Struthio camelus: one gene and its partners. The protein of the gene in region 1 binds, or shares a complex with, the protein of each later gene. Links are inferred from orthologs where the notes say so. Each region holds a gene or a part of one and is shown in the gene's direction. Other genes may lie near its edges. The genes, in order: AP3M1, LAMP1 and AP3D1.

Evidence for each region.
Region 2: the proteins of AP3M1 (region 1) and LAMP1 are in contact, whole or in part, in a cryo-EM structure (PDB 9C5A), measured with the Homo sapiens proteins. The link is inferred for Struthio camelus from reciprocal best matches to the Homo sapiens genes AP3M1 and LAMP1. Residues at the interface, in NP_001307192.1 of Homo sapiens: Glu178, Tyr180, Phe181, Asp182, Gln381, Val389, Asn390, Arg391, Leu392, Phe402, Lys403, Gly404, Val405, Lys406; in NP_005552.3 of Homo sapiens: Ser410, His411, Gly413, Tyr414, Gln415, Thr416, Ile417.
Region 3: the proteins of AP3M1 (region 1) and AP3D1 are in contact, whole or in part, in a cryo-EM structure (PDB 9C5C), measured with the Homo sapiens proteins. The link is inferred for Struthio camelus from reciprocal best matches to the Homo sapiens genes AP3M1 and AP3D1. Residues at the interface, in NP_001307192.1 of Homo sapiens: Ser25, Ser27, Asp30, Tyr31, Glu34, Pro52, Asp104; in NP_003929.4 of Homo sapiens: Lys29, Glu388, Gly389, Thr390, Thr391, Arg393, Glu429, Arg432.

Annotation. Positions count from the first base shown.
Region 1 is NC_090948.1:25,426,465-25,436,579, reverse strand, and holds the start of AP3M1 (AP-3 complex subunit mu-1), read left to right. Parts: upstream 1-5,611; 5' UTR 5,612-5,748; coding exon 5,749-5,751; intron 5,752-10,115. Other genes in the region: ADK (adenosine kinase), read right to left, coding at 698-753. UniProt on the Homo sapiens protein: Part of the AP-3 complex, an adaptor-related complex which is not clathrin-associated. The complex is associated with the Golgi region as well as more peripheral structures.
Region 2 is NC_090942.1:156,760,291-156,770,310, reverse strand, and holds the start of LAMP1 (lysosome-associated membrane glycoprotein 1), read left to right. Parts: upstream 1-5,591; 5' UTR 5,592-5,871; coding exon 5,872-5,914; exon of another isoform or gene 5,915-5,919; intron 5,920-6,158; exon of another isoform or gene 6,159-6,383; intron 6,384-10,020. UniProt on the Homo sapiens protein: Lysosomal membrane glycoprotein which plays an important role in lysosome biogenesis, lysosomal pH regulation, autophagy and cholesterol homeostasis.
Region 3 is NC_090967.1:3,339,535-3,349,111, reverse strand, and holds the start of AP3D1 (AP-3 complex subunit delta-1), read left to right. Parts: upstream 1-5,719; 5' UTR 5,720-6,024; coding exon 6,025-6,120; intron 6,121-9,577. UniProt on the Homo sapiens protein: Part of the AP-3 complex, an adaptor-related complex which is not clathrin-associated. The complex is associated with the Golgi region as well as more peripheral structures.

The DNA of each region.
Region 1 (10,115 bases):
TTGTGTCTGTGCAAACCATCCGTCAGAAGCCGGGCTTCAGTCAGCGCAGTTCCGCAGCCGCGCTCGGGCGGTAAATCAGGAAGTACGGCAAACGGCACTGCGCTCCCGCTCCTGCTTAATTTAATCTCAGCACCGTTGAGAGTATGTCACATGTCCTGAAGACGACATGCACACATGCTAACAAGAATTTTTAGATCCCTTTAAAATCCTGCCTAAACGAGAGCAAGCAGAGACCCCTGAATGGTACGGATCACGACTTCCTGCAGACAAAATTTAAAAAAAAAAAAAAAAAGAGGAGGAGAAGGGACACGCGAAGGTAACGAGCTGCATCTCCCGGGCAAGCAACCGGGAGCAGTAACCGAAGGCGCCATTCAGCGTTATCACACGATAGGCAGCAAGGGCGCAGGAAGCCCCTTGAACTCCTGAGGGTCTAACCAGGAAAACCTGCGGCACAACCGCCCCGACCACCCGGCCCGGCCGCCGCCGCCGGGGGCCGCGCTTCCTCCCGCCGCCGCGGGCAGAGCCCGGCGGGACCCGCCGCAGCGGGGCGGCCGGGGGGGGGGGGAGGAGCGCGGACCCGGCGGCGCCCGCACGTGCTTCAGCCGCCGCCAGGGCGGCACCGGCAGCGGCGCCGCGCGGCCCTCGGCGCCCTCCCCTCTGCGCCCAGCCGGGCCCCCGGCCGCCGCCCGCCCGTTACCTAAGTTGGTTTTGCTCCAGCTTGAGCTTCTTGGCTTGCGGCTCCCCCGCTGCCATCTTCGCGCTGGGCGGCGTGCGGCGCGTTCGCTTCGGCCCTCCCGCCCGGCGCCGCCGCCCCGCCCCGGCGCGGCCGCCGCCGCCGGGGGCGGAGGCGATGGCGCGAGGCGGCCGCGCCGGGCGCCTGACGGGAGCCCCGGCGCCGCCCGCTCCCCCCCGCGCCGCTCAGCGCAGCGCCCCGACCCGCGCCACCAGCCCGCGCGGCTTTAACCGCCTGCCGGCGCCGCCCGGGCCCTGCCCGCCGCGCGGCTGCGGAGGGCGCCGGCCGGCGGTGCGCGGCCGCGGGGACCCCCGGAGGGGCAGCAGGGGGGGATCCGCCGAGCCGGCCGCCGCCGCCTCTGTTATTGGTCGCTCGGTGCAGGCAGCGCCCCGGCCGCCCGCGCCTCCGCCGGGGGGCGGCCCCGCGCCGCGCCGGGCCTCGCCGCCATCTTGGCCGCTGCGGCCGGGAGCGGGACGGGCCGCGCCGGGGGAGGTACGTGCGGCCGGGGCCGGGGCCGGGGCGGGCGGGAGCTCCGCGCCTCACGGCGAGCCGCGGGGCGGCGGGAGCCGGGGTGGCCTTGGCCTCCCCGTCAGGTGCGGTGAGGGGCGGCTGCCAGGCAGCGCCAGGGCTTTTGCTTCCCCGTTGCGTTGGCATCGGGTGTTCAGCGGCCGCCCAGACGCCGCGTTGTTCCTGCGCTTTAACAAAAGGTCCCCGCAGCCGCCTGCCGTCTCGTGCGGGAGCGGAGCGGTGTGTTTTGGGCATGAGCAAAGGCTCAGCTGGGGCCCTGGGGAGCTGTGGGCGCCCGGGGGAGCGGGCCAGGCCGGGCTCGCCCCGGTCCCGGTCCCGGCGCCGGTGCCGGCAGCGGGCAGGGCGGAGGGAGCAGGTGCACGGGGACGGCGGCCTCGGCCAGGCCGCTTGGTCTTTAGTCCGTGCCGGAACAAACCGGTCACGGGATAAGTTTCCGAGGCTTAATGTGGGCAAGGGAAGGCCGTGACAGCGAGCCTATGTAGTTTTCTTTTTAAGAAGCGCCTAAACTCGCCGAGTATTTTGTAGCTCGCTCTGTGCACGTGTCCAACTGAAACAGTTTATGTAGATGGTCCTCTGAAACGAGAAGTGCTAATGAGAAGGAGGATTATGCACAGGGAGGTCTTAATTTCCTTTTTACAGGAGAAGGGGACAGATCAAATACTCCACGCGGGCAAGAGCTTTACCTCAGCAGTTACCCTTCTGTAAAGTTAGCTGTGGCTCCCCTGGAGAGTAAGTTAGCGGATGTGTTCCCACCCCCAGATTTGTTACCTTAGTGCCTTTCTTGTGTCTGTACAACTCCTTGGCTTTCTCCGAATCCGCTTTAAAAAGACGAAAACAGTACATTGTTGTTAATACTTTTTCCCCGAACATTAGTTTATGCTTGGAAATATAAATGAGTTAGTCGCAGTGCAACTGAGGTAGTAGAGAGCAGCTGCTAGAGACCAGGAGATCTCAGCCAAGCTGGGGTGCTCCCTACGGCAAGCCCTGGCCGGTGCGCAGGAGATGCATGCGTTGCCCTTGGGGCTGACTGGTTTGAGCAGACTACTGACTGCCCTCTACTCCCTCCCTCCTTCCTTCCCCTACGCGTCCGAGTTTCTCAGGCTCTGGGTCTGTTCTGGTACGGGGCCTGCTTAAGCAGATCCTCCCAGGAGAAAGGAGGCAGGACCTGCTGTTCAAGGCTCTATGAGAAATTTGCAGCAAAGAGACATGGGGGCAGGTGGGCTGCAGGAGGGGTAGCACCCAGCTCACCAAATCTTACTCTAGCATCATTGCTGCAGACCCAGTGGATCTGCTCGTGCTATGCCTGCTTAATTAGCCAGGGTCCTTGTGAGTATACATTTCTGTGCTGTATGCTAGAAATCACTCCATTATCATCCTTCCTTGTGTACTCCACATCACTTCTGCCCTGTTCAGTTTGTAACAGGGTAATTGGAGGTTGCAGCTTCTTTTGTTTTGTTTCAGGGGTGCTAATGTGTTTTGAAGTAACAATGCACTTACCGTCTTTTCAGTATGCTGAATGGTTTGTACCCAATGTAGGGGGATCTAACAGAAATAAGCGGTTCACCATGAAGTGTAGCGGTTGTATAAACGACCAAGCCAAAAAATCATAACAAATAATGAACGTTCATGTTCATAGAAGGCAGACTGCATTATGGGTGAGGAAAAGCTATTTTGCAAGAAAAGCACAAGCAAATCAAATTACTCATGCAAGAGGTATGATGATGGAAGCAGTGTTTTACAAAGGGACTGACAACATCAGCCATGAGAAAGGTTCAGCCAGCTGTTGCTAGGAGGTTTGAATTGTACATAGCCTCTCTTTTATTATAAAAGAAAAAAAAATGAATGGTATTCCATTCTAATGGTCAAGAATTTAATCTGTGATATGTTGGTTGCTAACTCAAAGCACAAACAAATCTGGTTTTGGAAAAAATGGAATAAGTAGATTGCTTCCAGTCCCTGTGCACTTGCCTGAAAATTCCTCACAGAGGGCAAATTAAATATTAAGATCCTTGCACACTCTCTAGTGCTTAATTTTGCTGTCCTTGCCCAAAAATGAAGTTTTCTGTTGTGCAAAATAACTATGACACATTTAAATCCCGCTTACTCCTTCAGACAAAACTCCCTTTACAAGCAGTTCTGCTTTAGGCAATCTTAAATTCTCATGATAAGATTTCTATTTCTGAAGAAGAAGTTGAAGTCCTTGAGGTAGAGAAGCATGAACAGCAGGTGACAAGTGGCAGCTGTACTTCATAGCTGTAATGACAGGAAGAAACCTGATTAAACCTGTTTAAAATGTAGAATTTCTTCCTCTTATTCTCCTGTTGTTTTCACTCATTTTATTTCCTACATTGCTTTCAAAACTTAAGTAATACACAGAAAACAAGTGAAATCCTTTTAATGTTTATTCAACAAACATGCATCAAAGGCTGCTTTTTAAAGGGAACTGCGCGGAACTCTTTAACATTCACTATTATGGAGCTTGATTTTATTCATTCAGATGGTAAAATCAAGGAGTGCAGCTCTGTGCTCTTGTCATGGAAGAGAAAGGAAGGAAAAAATGGTAGTTTGCCTTCTTTCTGCCATCTGGATTTTGAACTAGTTGTGGCATAGTGCACACACCTTAGTAAGAGCTGTCATTGACAGCAGGGTTCCAGTGATACTGGTTGTCTCTGGTGTAGTGTTTCAGTACTGCGTGGCCCTTTGGGCGTTGTGCATGTCCTTTCTTGAACCTAGAGTGCCTCTTAAAATAGAGCGTATGAAAAAAGAGCAGTATAAAGCTGGTGGCACTATCTCTCCAGCCTGTCACAGTTGCTGGAGCAGTGTATTGGGACAGCATGATGGAAAACATCTTCCCAAAGAGCTACTAGGGCAAGGCTTTTGTTTCCTGTGATCGAATATTGCTGCCCTGGCCAGTCACAGTTCTCTGGTTTGACTGGAATATGAGCCTAATTATCAGTCTGTTCCTGAAAATCCCTTTGACAGGAAATGTGACAAGACGTTGACCCTATCAATGTCAATTTAGTCCTCCCTATCTGTTTATTCAGTAGCATTTCCAGAGAATGAATTTCTTAAATGGTCCCTTAATAGTCCTAAATCAACTGATTTTGATGTAATTTGTGTTAGAGATGCTGTTCCATCTTCATGTAAAAAATGTAGTTTTAGCAATCAGTTTTTAGGGTTTTTTTTTTTTTTTTCTAAGCAACTCCGTTGGATTTTCAGCTTCTACAGTGAAGCTTTCAGTTCTTGCAGAACCCAAAGGGAATGCCAGTTATTCATTATCTAATACTGTTCAGTTGTTCTGGATCTAATATTTTGGTGTTGGCAAGAGATGGAACTATATGCAGTTGCCAGCAATTAAAGGATTTATGCTGAAACTAAATTGAACAAAGGCAGCATGCAAACATATTATTGGAAAGCCTGTCTCTCAGTAGATGGAATACTGCGCAAATTCTTAGGCAGACTGTGTTTGTTATTAGTAAAAAACATGGAGGTGGTTGGAAAGGTTGTTATGGATACTAAATACTGATTTAAGACAATTTCATAGTATTCTTAAAGGACTACTTCCTTTCAGAAAGAATTCCAGAAAGCTATTACCACTGTTTTAAATGACAGTGAAGATAGATAAATGTATACTGAGCAGCTGGGATGCAGACTGGTTAGTTTTTAACAGGGATGACCCTGCTGATAAAATATGCATCTAAGCAGTTACTGTACAGACACAAGCACTTGATGATCTTGGATTAGAATTGCTTTGATTCTGGGACTTCCACTTGAATAACAGGGAAGGACACCAAGCAGTTCAGACGAATGACTGCAAATATATTTCACCCTAATAGTATGGACACCTAAGCTGTGGTATCCTGTAAGTGAAAAGACTGATGATACTTGAGTAGCAGCAGTAACATATGCCAACAGTGAGAGGAGCCCTGCAAAAATGGTAGTTGCAGAACACTCACGTATTGATGAGATCTGAGACTTTCAGGTGCATCATCTTGAATCACGAATACTGAATCACAACTACTAATGCTGTATCCCGGTTAGTCCCAACTAGTTATATGTGTGTTCAGAGCTGAAACGCTGGCTGTCTTGTAAATGTCATTAAAGTAATCGATAGGATTTTTCTTCATTAGGTTTGCTGCTTTAAGAGCTGGTGAATGGGGTTGGGGAGGTGGGAAATGTAGGTTGTCTGGTTTTGTCATGTGTCAATCCTGAATTTATAAGAACAAGCTGAACTGCTGGCGTTCTGGTTGTGACAAAAATACTAGCTTCAAAATAGAAACAGACCTACCTATTTAGGTTTATTCATTTCTCTAGTTTACTTTAAGCATTAGATTGCTTTCCGTTCTGTTAAGGGCTTTTCACTACAACTTCATCTCCACAAATATATAACAGAGGCTCAGACAATCCACTCCCGCTAATCCTTCCACCATTCAGGGCAGCTGCACTAAATACCAGGAACACAGAAGCTCTGGAATACTTTGCAAGTGATGGTATGTTCAGACTTTTACTTGTTATAGTCCATCCCATACGGAGACAGTCTCAGTGATTATTACTAGCTGTAAAGGGCGTTGCAGAGGCCAGTGATTAATTCCTTACTTCCTGGTTTGCAGAGCTTTGACTGTAACTCAGCTCAGTGTTATGGAAAAGCAGCTGGCAAGAGTATCTCCGCATTAATTAAATTTTAGAGTACCTAATTGTAGCTGAGGACAAGCATATGCTGTCAGTGTTGTTCCCATGAACACAGCCTTTCCTTTCTACCAGTGAGCACTGCTTCATCTTGTGAACTTACTGTGACTTTAGTCCAGATGTTTCTCTGCCAAGAGACAGAGAAAAGAGTGAAATTGCAATATCCAAATTTAATCAAAAGAAAAGATAAAGAATTGGAATCAGCATACTGAAGACACCTTAGCTAAGAACTTGTAGTTCTTCTAATTCTGGTAGAACAGAAGCGACTAAAGAGAAGCCTGTGGAATTTCATATGTCAGAGCTCTTGGCAAGGATGGGAAATCTGTGAAAAGAAACTGCAGAACCTCTGCTGGGTTACGTGTGCTGCAGTGCTTTGTGAGATCACTCACAATCGAAGGCTGCTAGTCTGTTAAAAATGAGCATGAATGGCTTGCTCTGGGCTAAAGATGAAAGTAATAATCCATGCACATCTTTAGTCTGCTTTTTCGAATATGCCTAAAAGCAGAGATAGAGGAGATATGTCCTTTTGAAATATTCCTAGAAATACGCCTTTAGTGTTTTACATCTATTGCTTTTATGCTGCCATCTCAAAGTGGTCTCTGTGTACAGTACTGCAAAGGTTTGACAGTTCTTAAATTTTGGTCATGTGCTTTCACTACTGTTTTTTAAACTTAAGAAATTTGATTCGAGACCTTTACCTTCAAAGTGTCCCAGTTCTTAACCTGCTTTGCTATCTGGCCACTTGTGTCATTTATTTGACCTATTGGTATAAGGAATCGTACTGTTACTGGATTGATTTCTTGTCTTGCACTGTTTTTAATCTCCCCCCCCCTCCCCTCCCCCAAAGCTCTTGTGAGATAGAAGGAGAAGGTAGGGTAATGAGACATGAATTCAGGGATGTCTAAATGTCTTAATGAAGTCTGGCACTCAAAAAATAGATTAGCTGGGAAATCTTCTGTATTGGAAGTCCTGTAAGTAATTTTTGTTAAATACTAGCTTACATAAGATATCCATCATCAGTATCCATTTTAATTGGCTGATGCCAATTGTTTGGCAGTGTATGGGATAAATCAGATGACTTGGTCTTGCACCTAACAGATTGATCCTCCCACCGCTACTAGAGCTTCTCTGTTGTCACCAGCGGCAGAGAGAAGCGAACAAGCCGAGCTGCCCAGTTACCCGTAGGACCAGCCTTGTGCCGGTTGCTGTCAGAGTGTGCACTGCCTGCTCTGTGCTTGGTCTGTGCAGAGAGAGCTGCCATTTTTCCGGAGCACTTCAACTCACATTTCTTAGCAACGTGCTGCTGAAACTTGTGAAGGAGGAAAGGGGGAATGTGTGGGGTTTTGAAGGGAATTCTTGTGCTTGAAGTAAAGTAATAACGTATAATAGGAATTTGTGTAAAAATTGCAGAAGATGTGGTAGGCAGTCAGGTGGGTTTCTGCTGCTCAGCGTTCCACAGGTGCTGTAAAGCCGTGATCTGCCAAGTGTGGTCCTCCGGATCAGTTTGCTATTCCAGTTTACCACATGGCAGCCCAAACACTCGGATGAACACAACTAGCATCTGGGCTGCTTGGGGCAGGAACACAAATGAGTAGATAGAGGCAGTGGTCAAGTGCTGCTGCCCTTTCTGGCTGCCCAGGCCCTCCTCTTGCATATCAAGTCATGGTCTAATATTGTAAGTGGGATTTCTGGCAAAAAAAGTGGCTATGCTAACACAGTCATTTCATCTACCAGCAGAGCCAGCTGTGATCACTGCATAAGTAAATGACTGTAGTTCGTTAGCGATTATGGTGGCATGCTGGACTGCCGTATTTGTTCAAGTGTGTAGTAACAAATGCAATGGTTTCTGATCAATAGAATCTGTATGAGCTTTAACATCAGGACAACTGCTGGGGCCTAAAAGTAGCCTGTAACACTTCCAAGTATATTTGCCAGTGTATCATCCACAGCTGCCCCACAGTCCAGCCTTGTTCCCTCACCGCGGTCTATAGATCAAGTCTTCTGGAAATGGGAGTCTTATCAGTGCAGCCCGCACTAGCGCTGCTAATACTGACACTCTCCTATGCAGCTCTGTGTGCATTTACTGGGAACTGGGCTTTATCTTTAACAGATATGCTATTGTATCCATATTAAAATGTACAGAGAACTATTCTGAGCTTTATAGCTGATCACCTTCATATGTTTGGGCTGCCTTGGTGTGGAACAATACTGACATTCAGTGGTTGATTATACTTGCCACTGTTGTGTGACTATCCAGGAGATTTTGGAGGGGTTTAATGTTCAGCACTGGCTAAACTCGGAACACATTTGGTTAAACTGGATTAAAGCAATTGTGTTAAGGTCCCTTTATAAGAATGCTGTGCTCGCAGTATAAAAGTTGTCTGTCTTTTTTTAACAAAGATAGAGATGAATTTGATCCATGAAAGGTATAGTGGAAACTTGCAGTAGTACTAGTTTGTAGATTTGTTTCCTTTCCTACTCCTAAGCAAACTGACAGTTACAGTTTCCAAGTTAAACTCCTTTTATGCACCGTGTTGGCTTGATAGGATTTCTCCATCCATGTATTGACTGTTGCTCTTTGTACATCTACCAGCAAAGACTGTGCTCTTTACAGGAGGTATTTAAGAGATGGCAAGGACCCCCTGAAGGTGAGCATGTTTGTGTCCTGCACGTGAAGGAGCAGGTAGAGAGTAAAACTGGAAAAGCTGTATCTTGGCTCCCTCCCACCTCTGCAGTCTTACATGGAGGAAAATAGCATGCTGGCTGTCTTCCTTATTACTTATTTTTCATCTTCTCAGGTGAGCTTTGGAAGACCTGTTTTGGTACTGTCAATCTCTCTAGGCCCAAACCGTTTTTCAGTGTTGCAAGTGAGTTGGAAGGTCAACCTAGTACTCTGGACAGTTGAGCTCTAGACACAGCAGCAAGAGTCCGCTCTGGAGCTATGGGCTTTTCCCAGTGCTATGGCATGCAGTGTTCAGACTCCTTAAAAATCTCTGTGGGACTGGGCCATTTACATGTAGACGTTTCTGTGCTGTCTTCATGTTTCTGTGCCAGAGTTACATTAGCTAAGGAGCAAAGCTTATCTCCATTTTGTGGCATGATCCTGGCCACGCTTCCTGAGATGAATGAAAACTATGTTAGGTTTTTGGTAGATGTGTTTGGCTTCTCCTAGGCAGGAATTGGTGGTGGCCTTCCTGTCCCTGGTGCCAAAGGTGCTGACACGCAGTAACTGTTCTGTCTCTTTCCAGTCACAACTGAATTCCTCCAAAGGCTAGATGAACTTTCAGTAACTAGCATACGCTTAGTTCACGCTCTGGCAATGCAGTGACCTGGATCAGGAGGCTGATCTGACCAAAAACTCTTTTTTTCTGGGTCAGTTTATGGCTGAACCAGTTTCCTAATATGGTTGACTACAGAGCCACAGACATACTAATATCAACACCTGGAAGGCAACAAGAAGGAAAAGCCACTGGTAGGGACAGCTTCTTCGACTACAGAATGAGTCTGTGCAGGATATAAGTAACAGGTTAACTGCAGCTTAAGGAGCCTGTGCTTGGTTATACTGTGTTCATTTTGTTTTCTAAGCCTGAATTTAAACTCAGACCTTAATTTGTGTCACAGGACAGTTATACTGCAGGTCAGGCAAAGCATTATACCTGCCTCAGGTAAAGGTCAAAGAGCTAAACTGAAGTCTGGTAGCATTTATCTCTTCTATAGAGGTGGAGAAAATAATTTATTTGCTTCTCAGTTCAGCTACTATTTCATTGAAAGCTGAGAAATAGACTAGGAATTAGTTTTAAAAAAAAAAGGCAGATAAGCTTCTTTTCCCATGAATAAAATGAAGTATCAGAGGCTGAGACCTGTTATTTATTAATCCTGAAAGACACAAGACTAAAAGGGTTACAGTCTTTGTTTGGAGCTAATACCTTCCTCGTTCATGAGAGAGTTAGTTTTAGATGTAAGACATGTTTTACAAGCTTTTTTCATGTGTATCAAATAAGTTTGAGGTAATTTTATTTAATTAAAACAGATTTAAACATCTGGATTTGTGTCCTTCTAATGAATTCCAAGGGCCTTTATGCAAGGGCCGCTTGGCATAGGTCGTAACTAAAAGACTAATCAGCGAGCAAATAAGAAACACTGTTTTCTAGTTCAGTAGCTGGAAGGT
Region 2 (10,020 bases), on another chromosome or scaffold:
TTGTTCTTTGGGGTTCTTGAAAATCTGTTTCTACAGTTTTGTTTAACAATGTCATTGAAATTGAATGGAAAGGTAAAATTACCTGTGTAAGAAATACTTCTATGATAGATGCAAGTCTGGTTTATTCATGTGTGTGTTCCTGACTGTGCATCCATGGAGACCCTATAATATGCTGCATTCTTTAGCTACAGAGACAACTTGGGTAACTTTATAAAAACCCTAAATTGATGAACACTTATGTACAAGCAGTGTTGTTGAAATACACTGAAATTTTTGAAATTATGCACCATGAATACTTTTAATCTCGTATTCATTTAATTTTCTTTCAAATGATTATAAACTTCAGTCTGGTTTGGATAAATCAGATTTTGAAGTGAGATCCTTGAAGTGCCAAGAGGACAACTGTGTTGATGTGTGTAGTGAGATGTCTTATTATTTAGCCAAGATACTCATTTGTGGATTATTATTTTATTACTACTTTTGCTGGTTTGGGTGGCAATTAAGATTTGAGTCAAAGAGGCCCTACCTCATTTTAGGGCAACTGGTTTTTATCTCTGTTCATGTAATTGCCGTAAATTTAGTTTTTGCCTTTAAAGTCACATACAGGGAAACTACTGTACAGTGTGCTCCACTTAAACAGAATAAATAAAAGGAAAAAAATTAAAAAAAAAAAAAGACTTTTACAGTCTTGATGTTATGAAAGCATAGTTCTTGTCTTGAATGACTAAGGCTTTTGTGAGTACTTTGTTACATATTGTATATATGTAAGTTGATTTGAATTAAAGAATGGAAGACATTGTAGATCTGTTAGATAACTGTAATTATAAGGAAGATACTTTTGTGGTAATACTTACAAGCTGCTGCTTATTTTCAGGATTTGCATAATAGTGTGTTTCATTCTGATAAAGAGCTACCAAAGGAAGGGGTTTTGATCATGGTATAATGAGAATTTAACTGAGCAATATTTTCTTGAGAGACAACTTACTAAGTTTATGTAATATGGTTTTGTGCATCAATTAAAAGGCCACCATCTCTTCTTAAAGTAAGCATTGCTAAAAGTTGACATCTCATGAGTTTACATATTAAAGTCCTTGTTTTGTCATCTGATGTCATTAATTGTATTGCATTCTTTTGAACTATTTTTATTCCCTTTGTTTAGAAACTAAACATGTGTTTAGTTTATTGTATTTAAAACATATTTAATATTGTAATTTAATGTAGACTTATTTTAATATTTGAATCTTCAGTTAATTCAAATAAAAACTTTGATGCATATTAAACATTAATTCCTTAGCCTTTGTGAGAATGTAGCACTTAAGTGTACTTACGCAGTTTGTTGTTTAGTGTTAATTATAACACTTGCCTTGTAACTTACTTTCACTGCAGATGAAAGCTAATCAGCTCCATCTTACTAGACTTTTGAAACAAAAAGACATATATGCCTCACAGAAGTAAAATGGGCAGAGGCTTTATCCACCCAGAAAGTTGGCAGTAATGGACAACACAATTTGGTGGTATATATCAAGAAGTGAATGTGTACTCTCTTCCCTTTCTGAACCCAAACTTCCTCATTCGGGGGTTTTAAACAATTATGTTAAAAGCAGTGGTGTTATTCGGGAGATGATTTAAATGGTTCTGCCTTATGAAGCGATGTTGATTGACTAATTAAAAATGCTGAGATAGGCAATTTTTCTTAATTGCCGTAGAGTAGAACTTCTTGGCTGAATTACTCTGTCTGGTATACCAATTAAAAATAAGTTGTTACATGAGCAGTGGAAATAATTAAGCTTGCATTTGTATGATGTATATGTCTGTTGTCCTATGCTGTATTCCCCCTCTCTTGCTCCCAGCCCCCCAACCACAATAACCTCAAGAAGCACTGTTGTGTTTCTCTCATTAGTTCGGCCTCTCTGTTCTGAAATTGTTCTGACAGCGGCCTTAGAGGTTCAGGAGCCACGAGAGACTGATGGGCTGTGTCATCACGCGTGACTCTCTTTCTCAGGCCCTCATGTTTAATCTGGTTTTCTCATATTCCTCCTCCTAGGATGTTGCATGTGCTAAACAAATAGGTAAGCAGTTTAGAAGTAAAAGATCACTATTTAGTTTATCAGTCAGCCCGGTAATCGCTATTTCATAGTAAAATAGCTGCATTTGATTGCTTTTTTTAAAGCTAGTGATAGAATCCGGCTGAGCATCCTGTCCCAGCCAGTTGTTAGTCTGATGCTGGCTATTTGGTGGTTCACCACATCCTTGGGTGTATTGTGCCCACAGGGCAGAGGTGTCTCAAATTTTCTTGCTGGAAGATCACCTAATGTTGAAGATATCAGGGTGTGGCAAAGGAACAGATTTCCTCTGCAGCGCATCCATGTTCAGTAGAAAGAGAAGTCTTGAGAAGTCCCTGGCAACACAACACCTTTGGAACAGACTGTGTAGCAACTTGTATGGAAGGACAAAAAGAACCAACCACAAAAAGCCTCCTTCCTGCCCACTGCTTGTGTCTTGCTTTTCCTAGTTTTGTATTTTAGCTCCCACTGCAAGTCCTTTATTTGGACCTGGCTTTATGATCTAACTCATTTGCCCTGCTTCAAACTCTTTGTGTATTCTTCAGAGTCTTTCTTTTTTTGTGCTACACATTTGAAAAAAAAATTACATACCATTCAGGCAATTTTTTTAGTGCGTCAATTGTTGTGCATTTAGACTTATCTGTACGTTTATGAGCTTTGACAGTTGTGTTGGGGGAGTGGACTCTACTATAATGTTGGTTATCTGTTCCTCGCAAGTCTCTAGACAGAAAATAACCCTGTGAAGTCAGGTAACAGGCAGCAAAAGGCTAAAGAAAAAATGGAGTCATGTTTCAGTGAAATTTTTCCCTGGTAAAAATTCTCAACCTCGATGCTGTCTTACGTAGTGGTATTCTGCCTTAAGAGTGTGTGCTGTGTAACTGGTCTCCTATATCTCACAGGTATTTCCCATGCTCTTCCCCATATGCAGCCATTATGCATCCATGGCTCTTCAGTGTCAGAGATGTACCAGAGTTAATCTGGAACTCTGTCAGTGTTGATTAGCCAGCAACTCTGTAAAAGAAAACATGCAAGGGCTAGGTACAGACTACCTTTTGCTTCATGGCAGCACTAACTTGGATCTTTGTGCTCTGTCTTTATACCAGTTTTTATGGTAGTAATTTTTAAATTTTTTGCTATCAAGTTTGATTGATTTTAGCCAAGTTATTGAGCAGTGAGGCTAATGGCCAAACTGGTTGCACAAGACTCGGTTCATTAGGAAAACAGGCTAACAATCACTACATTGATGCTTTTACTGACAGTGACATAGAGATTGATTACTGTGGAGTCTCTACACTGCTATAAAAGGCTTAGTAAGCTAATTATTCACAGCATATAAGATCAGCATCATTCTCTGCTCATGACCAAATGTTCTTTACTTACCAATTTCATGCTACAGTGCTGTTGCTTTATGCAACTTACAGATTGATTTTTAACTGGTCCTAATCCAAAAATCAACGTTTTCCAAATTACAGACTCCTACCAGTTTTTTAGTAGAGGTGCAGACCACCGCATAGCAAGTTCAAACCTGACAGGGGAGCTCCCTCTCTGTTTCGCTTTTTTTGCAGACTTCAAGTAGCCCACAGACCTCCCCCTGCTCCCGGTGCAGGCCTCAAAAACAGTGATCGAAAACCTAGAACAACCGCTGTCCCACCTCCATTAACCTCAACTCCTCTGCAGATGACTCATTCAAACACTTGATGGAGCTGATGATTACATCCTTTTTAAAGCTGAGTAACTTCTGCTTTTGGTAATGCAGGGTGAGAATAAATGTACTGTAGAAAAAAGTAAGGATACAACAAGAAAACATTTCTGTCTCCAAAAATGCAGTATTAAGACATGTCTTGTTTATTGTAACAGTGTTTAAAAAAAAAAAAAAAAAAAACAGGCACATCCACAAGCCACGCTGAAGAGCTAATAATCTTCTCTACGGTGTTTTGGGGAAATAGGAAACATAAGTGAGCTGAGCCAAACAGCAGAAGGTCATCAAGTTTACAACACTTATAATTGACTTTTAGCTGCTGGTAATAATAGCTGAACTGCATTTCAATTTGGTTCTAAGTAAAAATGTAGAAAGGCAGCTCAGGAGGATAAAGGATTCGGTCTCAGAGTTGACTGGTCTAGAGTACATTGTAATGAGCAGAGGGATGATATGGGAGTCAGTATGAGTAAGCAGAAACACCCTATTACTGGCACGCTTTCTTACAGTACTAAAAATAGGATTTTGGTAGTAAAGTAAATACTTCTGAAGTACATGCTTTCTGTGAGAAAGTATATCCTTAACAGCTCAGGCAAGAAAGAGAATTGAATTAGAAAGGATCGAATGTCCTGGGCTCTGTATCTCCTTTTCTGTGTTAACAGCTGACAGTTTTGATACTGACAAACTTCACCTTTTCTAGTTTTCTCAAAAAAAAGTGGTTTCTTAAAATTCTTGTATATAAAAATATCAAACAACATCAGAAGCTGTTTTATATAGCTTTACCCATACACCTTTTTGCCCATGCAGCCCCAATTTTACACGTATGACCACAACTCATTAGTGATCCCTCTTCTAGCTTGAAACAGATACATGGATTATATATACGCACAGGTATACATAGAAGCATCAATTCAGAGGTAACTGAGACTATTCAACCTCTGGTGATTTGATACAGCTAGGACTGGTTTTAGCCTGGGCAAGATGACTATACTCACCTTAGACAGTCTTTATACTCCATGGCGAGAAAGGTATTCTGGAAGAAATTCAGAATTTAGGTGGGTTTAATTTGTAACCAAAGGTGCCGCTCACCCTCCTCTAGCACCCTCTTCCCCCTTTAACCCAGGGACGCCTGGACTGACTGCGTTCCCCTCTTGGGAACTAAAATGCCTAAATTCTAATGCCTAAAATTAGCTAGGGTGAACCTGGGCCTCGATGGTTCTTCACAGTTCTCATTTATCAGTTTTTACCAGGCAAAAGTAGCCGAGATGAGACAGTCTGCAGAAAGTCCCCAAGCCACCAAGTGCCCATCTCCGCACGTCCGGGCTGCGGGCGGGTGGCCGGCGCCGGGGCTGGCAGCGTGAGGCACGGGCACCAGGAAGGCCCTGAGCAGCCTGGGGCCACCGCTGGGGTTGCACGCGGGGTTGAACCGCGTGATGGGTATGGTATAGCTGCTCGCACCACCTATACGTGCAACCGCCCGCGGTTAACTGCGCACCAGCCTCCGCGGACACGGCTACGTATAGCTCAGAGCCCTACGCAAACCCCACCTGCACGCGTAACGTGCGGCGTTACCACAGCGCAGCCACGCACGTGCTGTGCATATACTACACACACTGTATGCCTCACACGCTCGTTTGTACATGGATATACGCACTGCATATACCGTACTCAGCACATGCATTATATACATATGCTTGCGCGCATATATCTAGGTATACATACTGCCCCACGTGCTTACACATATACACCCCCCCTCAACTGTGTTTATATAGGTATTATTTTGCGTGTGCGTAAACACCCAGTCACTGCCACCGCCCGCCGCCTCAGGCAGGGAGGGAGGGAGCGAGCGAGGGACCGTTGGAGGGCGCGTAACCCCCCTCCCCCCCCCGCTCTCGCGAGATTTCCCCTCGCTGCCTCCCCCAAACGCCGGGGTCTCCGCTTCGCTCCGCGGGCGGGTCACGTGCCAGCGCCCGGGCGAGGCGGTGACGTCAGAGGTCATATGACCAGCCGGGCCGCCGCTGCCGCCGCCGCTGCAGCCTTTCGCGCCGTCTCCGCGCTCTCGCCGGTGCCGCCTCGTCCCCCCCCCTCCCCACCCCACCCTCCGCCCCCGCCATGGCTCGGGCGCGGGGGCTGCTCGCGGCGGCCGCCCTGCTCGGTAAGGTGGGTCCGCCGCGGAGGGGGGGGGGAGGGAGAGGTTGCGCCGCGCCGGTTTACCGGGCACCGCCCGCCCGGCTGCCGCTGCCAGTGCGCGGCGGCGGCGGCGGCTCCGGCCTCGGCGCGGGGGGGGCGGCGATGGGGCCATCCGCCAGCGCGGAGGGCCGGGAGGCCGCGCGAGTGGGGCGCGGAGGGCAGCGGGTCGGCGCCGGCCGTGCCTCCGCGGGGGCCCGGCAGCCCCCCGCGGCTCGGGGCTGGCGCGGAGGAGCTGCGGGTGCTCCGCGGCCTGGTCCTGCTTCGCTCCGCGCCCGGGCGGGCGGGGGGTGACTGGCGGCGCGGCGCGGAGGGAGCGCGCGTGTTCCGCAGTTGCTTGCGGTGCCCCCCCGCGCCCCCCCCCCCCCTTGGCAGCGGCTTTCCTCCCCCTCTGGCGTGAAAAAACCTGCGTGTGACATCTGCGCTCTGCTGCCCTGGTGAGAGAGAAGGGTGTTAGTGCGACAGGACCGTTGGTTTGGGGTGTTTTGTTTTTGTTTTTTTTTTTTTTGAGGAAGCGTGTCTTGCGCGTTTGCTGATAAGTGCCTTGCTGTAGGTTTCTCGCGCGGAAAGCCACCTCGCGCGACGCTGCCCCGCTTCTGAAACGAGCCTTTGGCAGCCAAGGGGGCTCGTTCAGAAGCTAGCCAAGTGCTTCCCCGCATGAAGCAGCCGCGGAGACGGATTGTCTGCCCTGATTTTGGAGCTTATGGCAGCCTTCGCGTCTCTCTTAAGATTTCTTGGCTAGTAAATATGTTTGTTTATCTTTGGTGACGGCGCTTCGGTTTCTCTCGTCTTACTAACCTTGAAAGCTGTAAATTACGAGAGGCGCTGAGCAGCGCGCACATCTGCTGCCGGCTTCGCTCCGCGTTCATCTAGCTAGCGTGGTGACTAACAGTGTTAGCAAGCTTGCTTGTTAGGGTTGGAGTCTGTAATTTAAGTGGCATTGAACTGGTGTTACACTGGGAGCGCCTTATATGGCTTGTATAATGTAGCTAAGACTTAAAAATTGCTTGTTTGCACTCTGAGTGCAAGCTGCATAGTTTTACAGTGGTACCACAGGTAGTGCTTTTTGGGACAGTAGTAGTCTTCCTCTGCTTACCCAGCAGTTGCAAACGTATTCTTGTGCATTTAGCTTTGTCACTTTCTGGCCTGTAAAGTGTATGGCTTCTGATGGTGCTGAGCGTTTTATTACAAAGTAGATATATTTGCTAACAATTAGGATCTTGTACCTGTCTTGTTGTGTAGCTTAATCTTTCTACATAACTTCGTCCTATAATTTTGAAATATTTGGTGCAAACGGACGCTGGAGGATAGATCTCCTCCTATCCATGGAGGATAGATAGCCTCCACCATCTTGTGCCATAATGTGGGGTGATTGGGGGGAGAGAAAAATGGCCTTATATGAGGTGAATTCTTTGGACGTTTTTACAGCTCATTTGCGGTTCAGTTGCAGCCCTGCAGTCATTTGAGCGAGCGCTGATCATGATAATTCAAAGATCACAGGAGACTTAAGGATTAGCATTAGGATTTGACTGGGTGGGTCAAATGTGGAAGCATTGTTTGGCAGTGCTTTGAATTTGGGACAATGCGTTGATATGCGCCTGATTTTTTTTTCATGAATAGTTCACCACGCCCTACTTACTCTTTCAGTTTTTCATTCACAGTGAGCAGCAAGCCACTGAGATGAGTATTTTGTGTGTCTGCGTTAAGTATTTCCTGCTGAATTTCCTCACAAATTTCAAATGCTCATACAAATATTTTAAGTAATACAGTGATAAATACTGGCAATAGGGGCAGTGGGAGATGAAGTACTTTTCCCACAGACTTAGCTGTTGCTTTTGAAATACGAAGGAAGATCATACTCTGCCGTTGAGCACTAGAAGTGTCAGTTGCCTTGTGTGCCAAACGCAGCAGAGTTGCTTGCGCTCTTTGGGTGTGATTGCACCTGAATATAGTGTGTTTTCCCTGCTGAAACACAAATATGTCAAAGAAAACATTTCCAAAAACCCGAGTTTAGAGTCAAGCACAAATGAAGTGTCTGAGACTTGGGGAGAGGAGAATGAGTTTGAGAAGGTAGCATGATGCTGTTTCAGGGTTGTTGACGCACGACCCAGGTGTTTCTGTTGCACAACTCTGGTCTGAAGAGGACTTTCAAACCCTAGTCAGTACTTGCATTGGATGTGCTGATTAGAGCAGTCCTGATAACAGGCACAAATGGTTCTCAAAATCAGTAACTTACCGGGATAGTTGAGGGGAAACTTTAATAATAAATTCTAGCCCGTGAATAATTGTTTTATGTTTTCCTTAACATTGGGAATGCTAGTTATAGGGAGCTATCTGAGACAGGATATAGAGCCGTTTTCATAGATGTGTAACTGCTTGTACGTTACACGATGCTTGAAAAATTCTTTTATCAAATGCTACTTTCTGCTGCCCTGAACATTGTTTTTGCTTGATAGTGTCTTTGAGTGTGTTCAGAGTCTCAACGTTTCTACTGTAGTTCTGAGTCTGTTATCCTGTGATAAGCTACTCAGCTTTGACTTGTGCAGCTTTTTTGACTTCTAAAGCAGCTTCTTACTTGCAGAGTAAGAACTCCTTAGGCTCCCTGACATGCTGATGTTGAGATATGCTCCCTGCGTTCCTGTTTGGACTGATTTACAAGCTTCATTTTTGCTGAAGCATATTTCTAGATTGTTCTGTGGTGAATGGGACGATTTCTAATCGGTTGTAGGTGATAAGTAGAAGAATTTACTCTAGGGTTGAGGGGGAGCCTTGCTGAAAGGAGAAGATGGGTATTTCATTGAGAAACCCGTGAAACTTATTTCTAATTCTTAAAAGGCACACCTTCCACCTCTTGTTTCCGCTTAACTGCAGTAGTTTAGCCTTTCCCCTCTTGGGTCAGACAGGATTATTTGGAAATTCTTTGGGAAAGATTAGCGCTGTCATTGATTTCTTGCTGTTTATTCTATTAAACTTGGCAGTAGACTCATTCAGCTGTTTACTTTGTTGTGTTATCTGACTTGAAGACAAACCGCTGTTGCTTTTCAGGTTAAGGGTAACTGTTTCTTAGCCTTCTATGTCACTTGACAGCACTGCTGGCTGTTAGCGCTACTTCTGCTACTTTGATTACACGTGTAAGAGCGTTCGTAGCGCCCTGATGCTAGAATGTGCAGTTTCAAATGTGGTCCAGCTCTGTACGGTGGGGGTACTTGTCTAACTGCTCCTTTGATACGTTTAGTTTTCCTGCGTTAACCTTTAGTGGTTTGTAGTTTCTGGCTAGACAGAATTTGCAGGCTGAGTGTTATGGGAATAGTAGTAAGACTTAGCTTTCCTTGATAGGAGTGAGAGCTACCCTCGTGTCATTGGAGTAGGAGAGTGGCACACCAGGTCAGTTGATTTATTATCTCTTTCCCAATTGGCTATCCTCTGAGGAGGCTTTCCTCTTCAAATTGGCAAGGCGGTGTGCCTTTCTCAAAAGGTTGTCTTCACCTGTCAGTTACCCTGAGTGATGTGTTAGCTGTGTGCTGTGGTGCAGCTGCAATTACCTGAGCACGTGCAAAATGAGCTTGAGTGGATGCTGAAGAAAGTTTAGAGGTGCTAATTCAGAAGCTCCCCGTAGACTCATGTCATCAGTTGCTGTAGAGCTATCCCAGGACTTCCTTCTTCTAGAGAGTAAACCATAAAGAAGTTTCATGTGACTAAATTTGATGCAATTGTGCTATTTTCTGGCCAAACAGTAACATCACAGCTGCTGAATAGCCTTTCCTTTATAATGCTTTTATACCTTTATAAATGTGTTTATAAAGACAGAGGTCATTCTGCTGGACACTTGAATTGCAAAACAGATTTTGTAAGTAAGCTATACAAAATGTTTACTGCGTTAACTTAAACTAATGATATTAGAAATGGAATCTGAAGCTGGCTGTGTGAATTTGTCCCTGTTACTTGGCGAGGATGCATTTTCTAGGGCTGGACGTGGAACTTTATATGATGAGACACCTGCACAAGTCCAGTTGATTCTCTTTTCTTCTCCCCTGCAGTACGCTTGTCCATCCCTGTATAAAGCTCTGTTCCCCC
Region 3 (9,577 bases), on another chromosome or scaffold:
CCCACACGCAGCCCACTCATCATCCTAACACAGGGCATCACCCCCGCCCATCACCCTAACCTGGGGAACCCACCACCTCCACCCTCATGCAGCCCACCTGTCACCCAAACCCTCGGCACCCACCACCCTCACCCCAGCACAGGGCACCATCACCCTAACGTGGGGCACCCACCATCCTCACCCCAACATGGGGCACCCATCACCTAACATGGGCCACCCGTGACCCTAACGTGGGGCACCCACCGCCCCCACCCCAACATGGGGCACCCATCACCTAACACGGGCCACCCATGACCCTAACGTGGGGCACCCACCACCCCCACCCCAACATGGGGCACCCACCACCTAACATGGGGCACCCACAACCCCAACATGGGGAACCCACCACCTCCACCCTCACGCAGCCTACCCATCACCCAAACCCTTGCCACCCACCACCCCCACCCCAACATGGGGCACCCCCACCCCGCCCCGGGCACCCCCGCCCGCCTCGCCCGCCGCGGCCCCCGGCTCGGCCCTGCCCCTCCCGCCGCCCCTTCCCGCGCGCCGCCGGCGCCGCGCCCCGTCCCCGCGGCCCGGGAGCGGCCTCTCCCCTCAGCCGGGGCCGCCGCCGCCGCGCGCCTTCCCGCCCTCTCGCCCGCCGCTGCCCGGGCCGGCGGCGCCATCTTGAGGGCGGCCGCGGCGCCAAGGCGGACGTGCCCGAGGGCACTGCCCGGGGCGGGGGCGGGAAGCAGCGTTCGGGCTGGCTTTGGTCATGGCTCGCCGGGCCCAAACGAGGGGCGGGAGAAGCCCGAAAGGGAGAGGCGCAAGGTGGTGGCATTTGCAGTGAGGGGGGAGGCCGCGCCCAGGGCCACCCCTGGCTCGGGCTCCTGCCCCGGGGCTCGTTGCTGGGCAAACCCCTCCTGCGGCGGCCCCCGGGGCCTGCCCAGCCCTTGCCCCGCGCCATCTTGTCCTTGTCCTCGTCGCCACATCCTGCCCGGAGCCACTGGCGAGCACCATCAATCCGAACAGGGCCAGCCTAGAGCGGAGGGGGACAGTCCGGAGCAGACCCGGACTGTCCGGAGCATCGGAGAACGTGGAGGAAAGAGGGCTGGCGAATCGGAGCGGTGAGAGCGAGACGACGCTGGGCTCGCGCGTCCCCGCGCAGCCTGGCTCGGCTCGGGCACCGCCAGGCCCCGGCGGATTTGCCCAGGCACAGGGGATGCCGTGTAGGCGCACCATAAACGCGTTACGTGGGCTGAGCGGGAGCGAGCTCGGTGGCTTGTCCTTTTTCCTCCCTCTTCATTTCCGTCAGAGACATTCAGGTGAAGAGATGCCAAGCGCGAAGGAGGCGGGAGCGACTGAGAACAGAGCCGCTCCCCGCTCCCTGGCCAGGCTCTGCGCGGCGGAAAAGGGATTGTCTGGAAGAAGCTGGCCGCGCACGGGCTGCCCTGTGTTGCGGGACTCCTCTGCGTCAGCCATGACGAATCTTGCACCCAGCAGCCCCAGGCAGAGCCTCACCCACACCCCCGGCAGCCTCCATCATTTTAGGGCCTGTCTCGACGGCTATCTCACACCTCCCCCTCTCCACCAGCTTCCTTCCCTCAAGCCTGAGCCCTGCCAAGCACAACACTTTGAGTCACAGAATCACAGAATCACAGAATGGTTGAGGTTGGAAGGGACCTCTGGAGATCAGCTAGTCCAACCTCCCTGCTCAAGCAGGGTCCTCTAGAGCAGATTGCCCAGGATCACATCCAGACGGGTTTTGAATATCTCCAGCGAAGGAGACTCCACTACCTCTCTGGGCAACCTGTTCCAATGCTCTGTCACCCTCACAGGAAAGAAGTTTTTCCGCAGGTTTAGATGGAACTTCCTGTGTTTCCTGAGTCCTTTCGGCAAACGTCCAGCAGGAAAAAGGCTCAGGCAAGGACGCACAGATGCAGAAGATGGGAATAGATACACTCTGCACCAAACTGCCGATGAGGCACGTGCCTTGTATTAAACTTCCTTGTCACCATCCCTTCCCTACCCAACATATCCGCCTTGTGGTGATGCACACATTAAAAACTTGTCTACCATGAAAGCACTGTAGAATTAGGTCATCATGAGGAATGAGCTGTTCTGAAACAAGTTTGGATATCCTGTTCCATACTGGTTAGCGAGTGGCTCGAATTCAGATCTCCATTGCGTTGGTGCGAGTCTGGCCACCTCAAAATAACACGGCTCCAACGTCATTGTGTGCCTGCCCACCCTTCTGGTTAAGTACACGTTCTGCACATTTACTGTCAGCTTTATGGAGCGACCTACTTCTGTCTGAACAAATAGTGACAGAGCATTGATGTGATGCAGAGCGGGAGTGACAAAGCAGGGCCTACTACCCAAAAGTGCCAACTGTGCTCAAACCGCTAAAGCGCATTCCCTTCGTTAGATACCTAGTATAACTGCACAAAAATAGTTTGTGTAAATAGAAACATCTCCTTCGGAAGCAAGGGAAGAGACCATGTTCACCGCACGTTTGCTGGGTGCCTGCTCAGGAGAAGAGACCACGGATGCGGCAGGTGTAGGTGGTGTTTCTGGCACAGATTAGGAGCTTTAAGATTTAGGAGTGCTTTCACGGAGCACAGCAGATTAGTGGAGCCAAAGGGGCCTGGCACCGAGAGGCTGGAGACAGAGCAGATCAAGACCTGTTTGGTTCAGCATCATGTCCTCAAAGATGGTTGGTCCCATTCTTTCTTACGTCAAACCACTATCCAGCTGCGAGGAACCGGCTATCCAGAAACAGGCTTTTAGGAATGAGCCATGCTGTGGACATTTTCCCATAGGGCACATCAAAGGAGGTCAGGCCGTGATTTAGCGCAGTGCTTCAGCAGGAACATAACTTTAAGCAAGAGAATATCCCTATTGTCTATGGTGGGTTTGCCTATGGAGTTTAAGTAATTTCATGTGCTTAAGTGGTTTGCTGGACCGGAGCCTGAATGCAGCTTTTGTAGAAAATCATATTTTTGACCTTCACATTTTAATAGTGCTGCTTTCATGTTCCTTCTCCTGAGCTCAGTTTACACAAAGGTATCAATTAACATAATGAATACCAAAGTCATCCCGTATCAGTTAGTTTCAATGAAAGTCTGGACAGCAAAATGCATGGAGCAGCTCTTCCCTCTGCCAGGGAAGAGGGAAGCTGTGCAAGACAGAGAAAAAATTTCACGGAAATGTTGCCTAATAGCCCCTTCTAGGGGAAAAATAGGGTCAGGGCCTGAACTTAGCAGTTTAGGTCCATCTCTGTCAGAAACGTAATGGTCAAGCTTGTGTTTCCCCCCACTAACAGCTACTAGGTTTCATGTGCCCTTAGCTAAAGCTTTTCCATAGTGTTGAAAGTGCAGGATTTACTCAGCGATGTTGCATTGCTTGCTACTGAATTGCAAATAGGCTGAGAGCGCAGTAGAAGCAGCTACAGCTGCTCATGGGAAGGTTTCTTCCCAGAGAAAGCCTGTTGTGAAATTACAGCAGTGAAAACAGAAGGTGGCGTTATTTATTAAAAAGAAATCAGAGCTGCAATTGCCTTATGGAGACAAGAGGCTTGGAGTTTCTAAGGTCTTTAGATATTATCAAGGGCAATGATTAGGGTTAGAGCCATGGTTTTAGTTGAGGATGACTACAAGGGAATTTCATGCTCTCCATAGTTTGGAGGAAGGAAAGTGCCTTAAAAAAGGAGACTGAACCAGCTTGGACCATCTATGAACATCCATACCAGGAACAAAAATCCTTGCAATCTCAGTTTGGGGGGGATTGAATTCTGGGTTGAAATTCACCTCCACCAGACTCTCTCTTAGTCCCCAGCACCCTGGTTTTGGTGGTGTTAAAGCTGCAGATGTATAACTGAGCACCAATGTGTATTTTGGTCAATCCTTCAGAAGGAATGATGTTTAAATGTGGTCGCTGCAGGAATAAGTAGCGGTTTTGTCCCCTTTGCTTCCTTTTTTTCCTAGAAAACAAACAAATGAAAGGGAAACCCCCAACCAATCCCCGCTCAGCACTGGACATATGAGGAATACAGCTCTCCTTTTTCCCAGAGGACCAACTTTGAAGGTAGAGTTGCCTAATTCATTAATCTCAATGGTGAAGTTTGCAGAAGTGCCTATTGCTGCGCTGTCACATCTCCCAGCCTGAGCTTTCATTCCTGGCCCTGTCTCACGGTTATGACAGTGTGACTGCGTGCGGGGTCCAGGCTCTGACTGAGCCTCTGAAATGATCCGAATTAAAAATAGTGCTTTTTTCAAGGTTTATGGTATAGCCCCACAGAGAGCAGCATTGGCACAACTGTGGAGACAGAGAGGTGGTGGCAGGGGAAAGGACAGGTGGCGGTGGGCAGGGCAGCACCTTCTCAACCTGCCATGTCATGTGAGGGACCCTGAGTCTTGGCTGGTTGACTTTTTTTCCCTTGAAAAGGGAAACATAATGGGTAGAAGCTGAGATATGTGGCCATTTCTGAATAAAGTGAAAACAAGCCCATGAGCTCCCTTCTACTGTGAAGGTCCAACAAAAACAAGCTGTAGGTCAAAAGTTGAAGATAGAGAACAAGGAGGAAAAACATTTTAAGCAAACAGAAATTGTTTTCCTTCGCCTGCCATAAAGAAGCACAAAAGGACAAGCAGATCTTTGCAAGGCCAATTCTTTTTGTTACAAGCCCCTTTCTGTTTATTTATCTCTTTGCCAGAATCCCTTTTTGAAGGCAAAGCTGAGGGAGAAGAATGGCCTTTCTACGTTTTCTTTTTCCTCTCCTTATCCAGAGCACCACCCACCTGCAGTAAGAAACATCATCCTCCAGGCAGACACGCATACATGGATGATGCAGGTATTTGTCATGCCGGTAGATGGCTGGCTGTGTCCCTGGCTGGCAGCAGGAAAGCTTGTCCCATCGGGAAAGGTCTTCGGTGTCTGAGATTGGGTATTTGGCATTTGTGTAACCCACAACAAACCCTCACTGTCCTGGGTGTGTGCTCGGTGTGTCTGGCTGAACTGCCGCCAGCCGGGTGCCAGCGGCTGCACATGTGCCCTGTGCCACCCGTGAGGCTCCCAGGTCCCCTGGCTCTTCATCCTTCACCCAGAGGAGCGCACTTTGACCACACAGGGATTTTTCACCTGGCGAAATGGACTATTATATTTCTTAGGGTGCTAAAGTTGGCATGAGTGATAAGTGACTACAGGTAGTTATCGAGGGTCATGTGTGATGCCCTTGGTGGTGACACCTGGTGCCTGTGGGCTGCATTCGGAACTGAACTCATAAGCGACGCTTCCAAAATCTGCATTTATCAGTTGTGCAGCGTTCAAAAACGCACGGAGAAGGGAGGAAAGGCAAGACACCGGGTAGCCGCTTCCTGCGGCCCTGCCTGCAGGGGCAGCAGCCGCACGGAGTTAACTGCCCTGTGTGAGCCGCCGGGGCTCCGCATGAGCCGGCACCACGGAGCCGCTGCCCAGCCGCGCCCGGACTCGCCCCGCCACGTGGGTCCTCCCGGCCCGCCCCGCGCGGCGTGGGGGGCGGGGCCACGCGGGGCGGGGCTTGCTCGGCGTGGTTAGCGGTAGCGGTGACGCGGCTTTCGCCGGAGGGCCGCGGGCAGGCGGGGTGTGGGCGGGGCCGACGTAAGGGGGCGGGGCGTAGCGCGGCGCGGGTGTGGCTAGCGCGCGGCGAGGCGGGTGGCCACGCTTGGGGCGGGGCCGGGGGCGGGGCCAAGCCGGGGCGGGCGGGGGCGGGGCCGAGCCCTCAGCTGACCGGCCGCCATTTTGTCAGGCACTTGGAGGCCGAGCGGAGCCCGGAGCTGGGGCTTGCGGCCAACGGGGCCGCCGCCGCCCGCCTGTAGCCGCGCCGCCTTGCTCCGCGCCGTGCTGGGGGCGAGCACCGCCCACGCCTCCCCGCCCGGGATGTGAGCGGCCCAGGCCCGCTGGTCTCACCCGGTTCTAGCGGTAGCAGGAGCCGCGGCGGCGCCCCCGGCTGGGCCCGGCCCCTCAGCCCCGATCGTAGGCCCCGCGGCCCGGTGCGGCCCCGCCGCCATGGCGCTGAAGATGGTGAAGGGCAGCATCGACCGCATGTTTGACAAGAACCTGCAGGACCTGGTGCGCGGCATCCGCAACCACAAGGAGGACGAGGTGAGCGGCCCGAGGGGCTGCGGGCCTCCCGCTCCCCGCGGCGGCCGCGGCTCTGCTCGCCCTCGACAGGGGCTGGCGCCCCTTTCCGCCGGCCTGGGGCCTGCCCCCGGGGCCAGCCGGCCTCCTCCCTCCGCGGGGTTCGGCTGTCGCCCCCGTCCCCTGCCAGCCCTCCCGTCAGGTTCTGCCTGTCCGGGGGGCTCAGGGGTGATGGAGGGTGCCTCGGCCCCGCTCCGTGCCGCGGAGGCTTGGTTAGGCCCAGAACAAGCCGGGTGGCTCCCCCTCTCCGGAAAGGGGATGTTGTTTTGAGGAAGGTGCAAGCAGGAATCAAAACGAGAAAGCTGAGACTGGGGTGTAGGCTGTAAAGCCAAAAAGGGAAGCTTGTGGGAGGACGAGAAGGCAGTGAGGGAGCAATGAGTTGAAAAAGAGGATAAGGGAGAGTGACACTTCAGTGTTTATTTTCCTATTTAATATATTACTGTGATGCTGAGCTCACTGATACATCTAATAAAGGAATTCCTACCTTCCTGCACTACAGTAATCAACTCTACAAAAAGCTGAATTCAGACACAACTCAGCTTTGAAATTATTCTTATTCTATACCTTCTAACTGAAACACTTTCCACATTTGTAAGCTTATGTAGGTTGGAAATAGTTGGACATGTTGGCCTATTGCTCGTTTTGTATTAGAGCCACATTACCAGGAAATTAGCAGAGGTCAAATAGTTAGTCATCAAGAACATGTTATATGAGACTTTCCATGTTGAATTTAAAGCGTCACATATTAATTTGGAAGTAACGGACACTAAGGAGATCGTTTATGTTCATCTACAAGTAAGTGGTCATGGCCTTAAGAAGCGCTTATGAATTGTCTAACAGTTATCTTTTAGTTATTCTAACCGGTTATCCTAAATATTTAACAGTTATCCTAACTCTTATTATATTCTTCATTACTGGCGCTGTTGGACTGAAATGTAACATACCTTCCAAAAAGCACTTGGTTTTTCAAATGACTTTTAAGCAGACCATTGTGCACACTACAAGGTGTTATTTGCTAGTGATAATACCTGGGAAACTGTTTAATTTTTTTCATTTGATTGTGTGACTGGGTGTAGATTTGGTGGCACAGGAAGACAGTACTGCTGTGAAGTATGCAGCACCCTGCAAAAAATGGGAAACTGTATGGAGGAATGGAAACAGCATTTGTTAAGCTGTGTGAGGTGATACCTAAGAATGTTTATGTGGACGCTTACTGTGTTTAACTTGTGCTGTTGTAGTTCTAAGCTGTTTTTGTTATACTCGGAGCTGGAACAGCGAAACAATAAACAATTCTGTGGGGTGCTTTTCCATAGCGTGTTTAGGCCCAGTTTGTATGATATGCTGCTTTTAGTAAATATATCTTATTTCTTGTGCGCATAGGACAGAAGGTAAAGAGCACAAGTGCTGTTAAGCACCATCAGGCTTACCAAATTACTGTGCATCATGAGCTGTACTGGGTGTTTGTTCTTAGCCTGTGACAAAACTCAGTTAAAATGTGTTAGCTTTAATTTCCTTTGTTTGCGGTTAAGAAAAATATTTGACAGATAATTTTTTTCACAGTGTTGGAAAAATACACACAAACCTACACAAAGGGCTGTGTATGTTTGAAGGAAGTCACTAGACAGATGTGCACACTCTAGCCTTTGCTAAGGTCAAAGCAAATGTGTTACTTTCCCCTTTCTGCAAGTCAGAGGCTGATGTTGTCAGTTGCAGTAGTTGAAGGGTAAGGTGATAGCGTTTTAAGTGATGGTAGCCCTTTGGTTTGAAATTTAAGTCTTGACACTTTAAAATAGAAAATTAATTAGCAATACTTCTTTAGAACCTCATGTGCACAACAAAAATTAAGAACCAAACTTCTGTTCGTGTTCAGCTGATCAGTTGAACTGGCACTGAAAATATTTGTGTCTTCTGTAGCACAATCTTTTTTGGATTCCTTCAAAGATTTTGCTTAATTATTTGAAGTGACTGCAAACAGTGCAGGACTGTTCCTTTTTCTACTTCACTTAGCGGAAGAGGACTGTAAACCTGTTATTAAGATACTGATTACATTGATTTAGTGCTTCTCAGTGAATGGTCATGAACACTATTTCTAGTTTTCAGGTGATGTTGCAAAATCAGGATAGTATTTTAGAGGAAGTAGCTGCAAAAATTCTTCCTTCTTCTCCTACACTGCTTCCATTGTTCATTGTATCTACTAAGTGTTGCTCAAATACAGAGTGCATTTTTTTGGCTGGCTTCTATGTGTCTCAAGTTAAGTGTCTAAGCTCAAGATGCACATTTTGGCCAGTTCAGAAGAGCAAATGTGTTGAGAACGATCTGCAACGTGCTTTGGTGGCGAGGATATTAACTGCTGGGTCTCAGTAAGAATTACTCTGTGAAAGAAATGTGTCTGGAGATAAGGTATTGTGGCTGTTAAAGAAAAAGGAAAGAAATGAGAGTATGAGTATTATTTTGACCCTTTTATTTTGATTTAGTTATGCTTTTTACAGAATGCTAATTTCTGTTATGTACATTGGTTCTTGCCCTCTGGAATTTAAAATCAGCATGTGGAAATTCCTCCATCATTTTTTTTTCCCCTCATCTATCTAGCAGTCTCTCCTGGTAGACAGGAGATAGTAAGATTTATTCCTTTCCAGTTCTTAACTCTGACAGTTCCCAATTCCTCTATAGGTGCTATCACAAGCTATTGTATCTGGTATTTCATTAAACTAGTGGCTTTGTTCCACTGATGCATCAAGGATGTATTTGTAGTGAAGGATATGCCAAATGGTTGTCACCTAGGTTTACGTGTGTGTTTCTCAAATACAGCTTTCCAATAACCTACTACATTCTTGTTTGATGATGACGTATTCATCTTGTGTTGCTGAGACTACCAATTTTAAGAGTGTCCTCCTCAGCTCACTAGAGGAATTGGGGATACTGGAGGGCTACTGGCACTTCAGCTAACATCCTTGCTGCAAAGTGCTTAATTACCTGTCAGAAAGCAACTTTCACTTTAGTTCCTGATCTGTATCCAAAGCTGACCCATTTATTTTGAGTTTAAAACACTGAAACTGAAGTACTGGTGTGCTGTAAGGATGAGAGGGAGACAAGAGGTAACACCTGAGTTAACCTAGTCACTTTTCAGTGCGGACCTATTCTGTTCTCCGATCTCCCAGGGAAATTTGGAGCTGCGTCGTCCTCCTGTGAAGTAAACACTGCTGGAAGAGGAATGAGGTAGCACAATAGCATTAGGTCTTTTCTTAATTTTCAGCACTCTATGCAGATGTTTTAATCCCTGTGGTGTTTCCTGGTGCCAGTTCAAAATTCCGGGGAAAGCCAAACTTACAAGAAAGACTTGAGATATTTTGATCCATTCTCCTTTGACCTTTTTTTCTAATCTCTCATTCATCTGGAGAATTAATCCTTTTAGTAGTGAAAG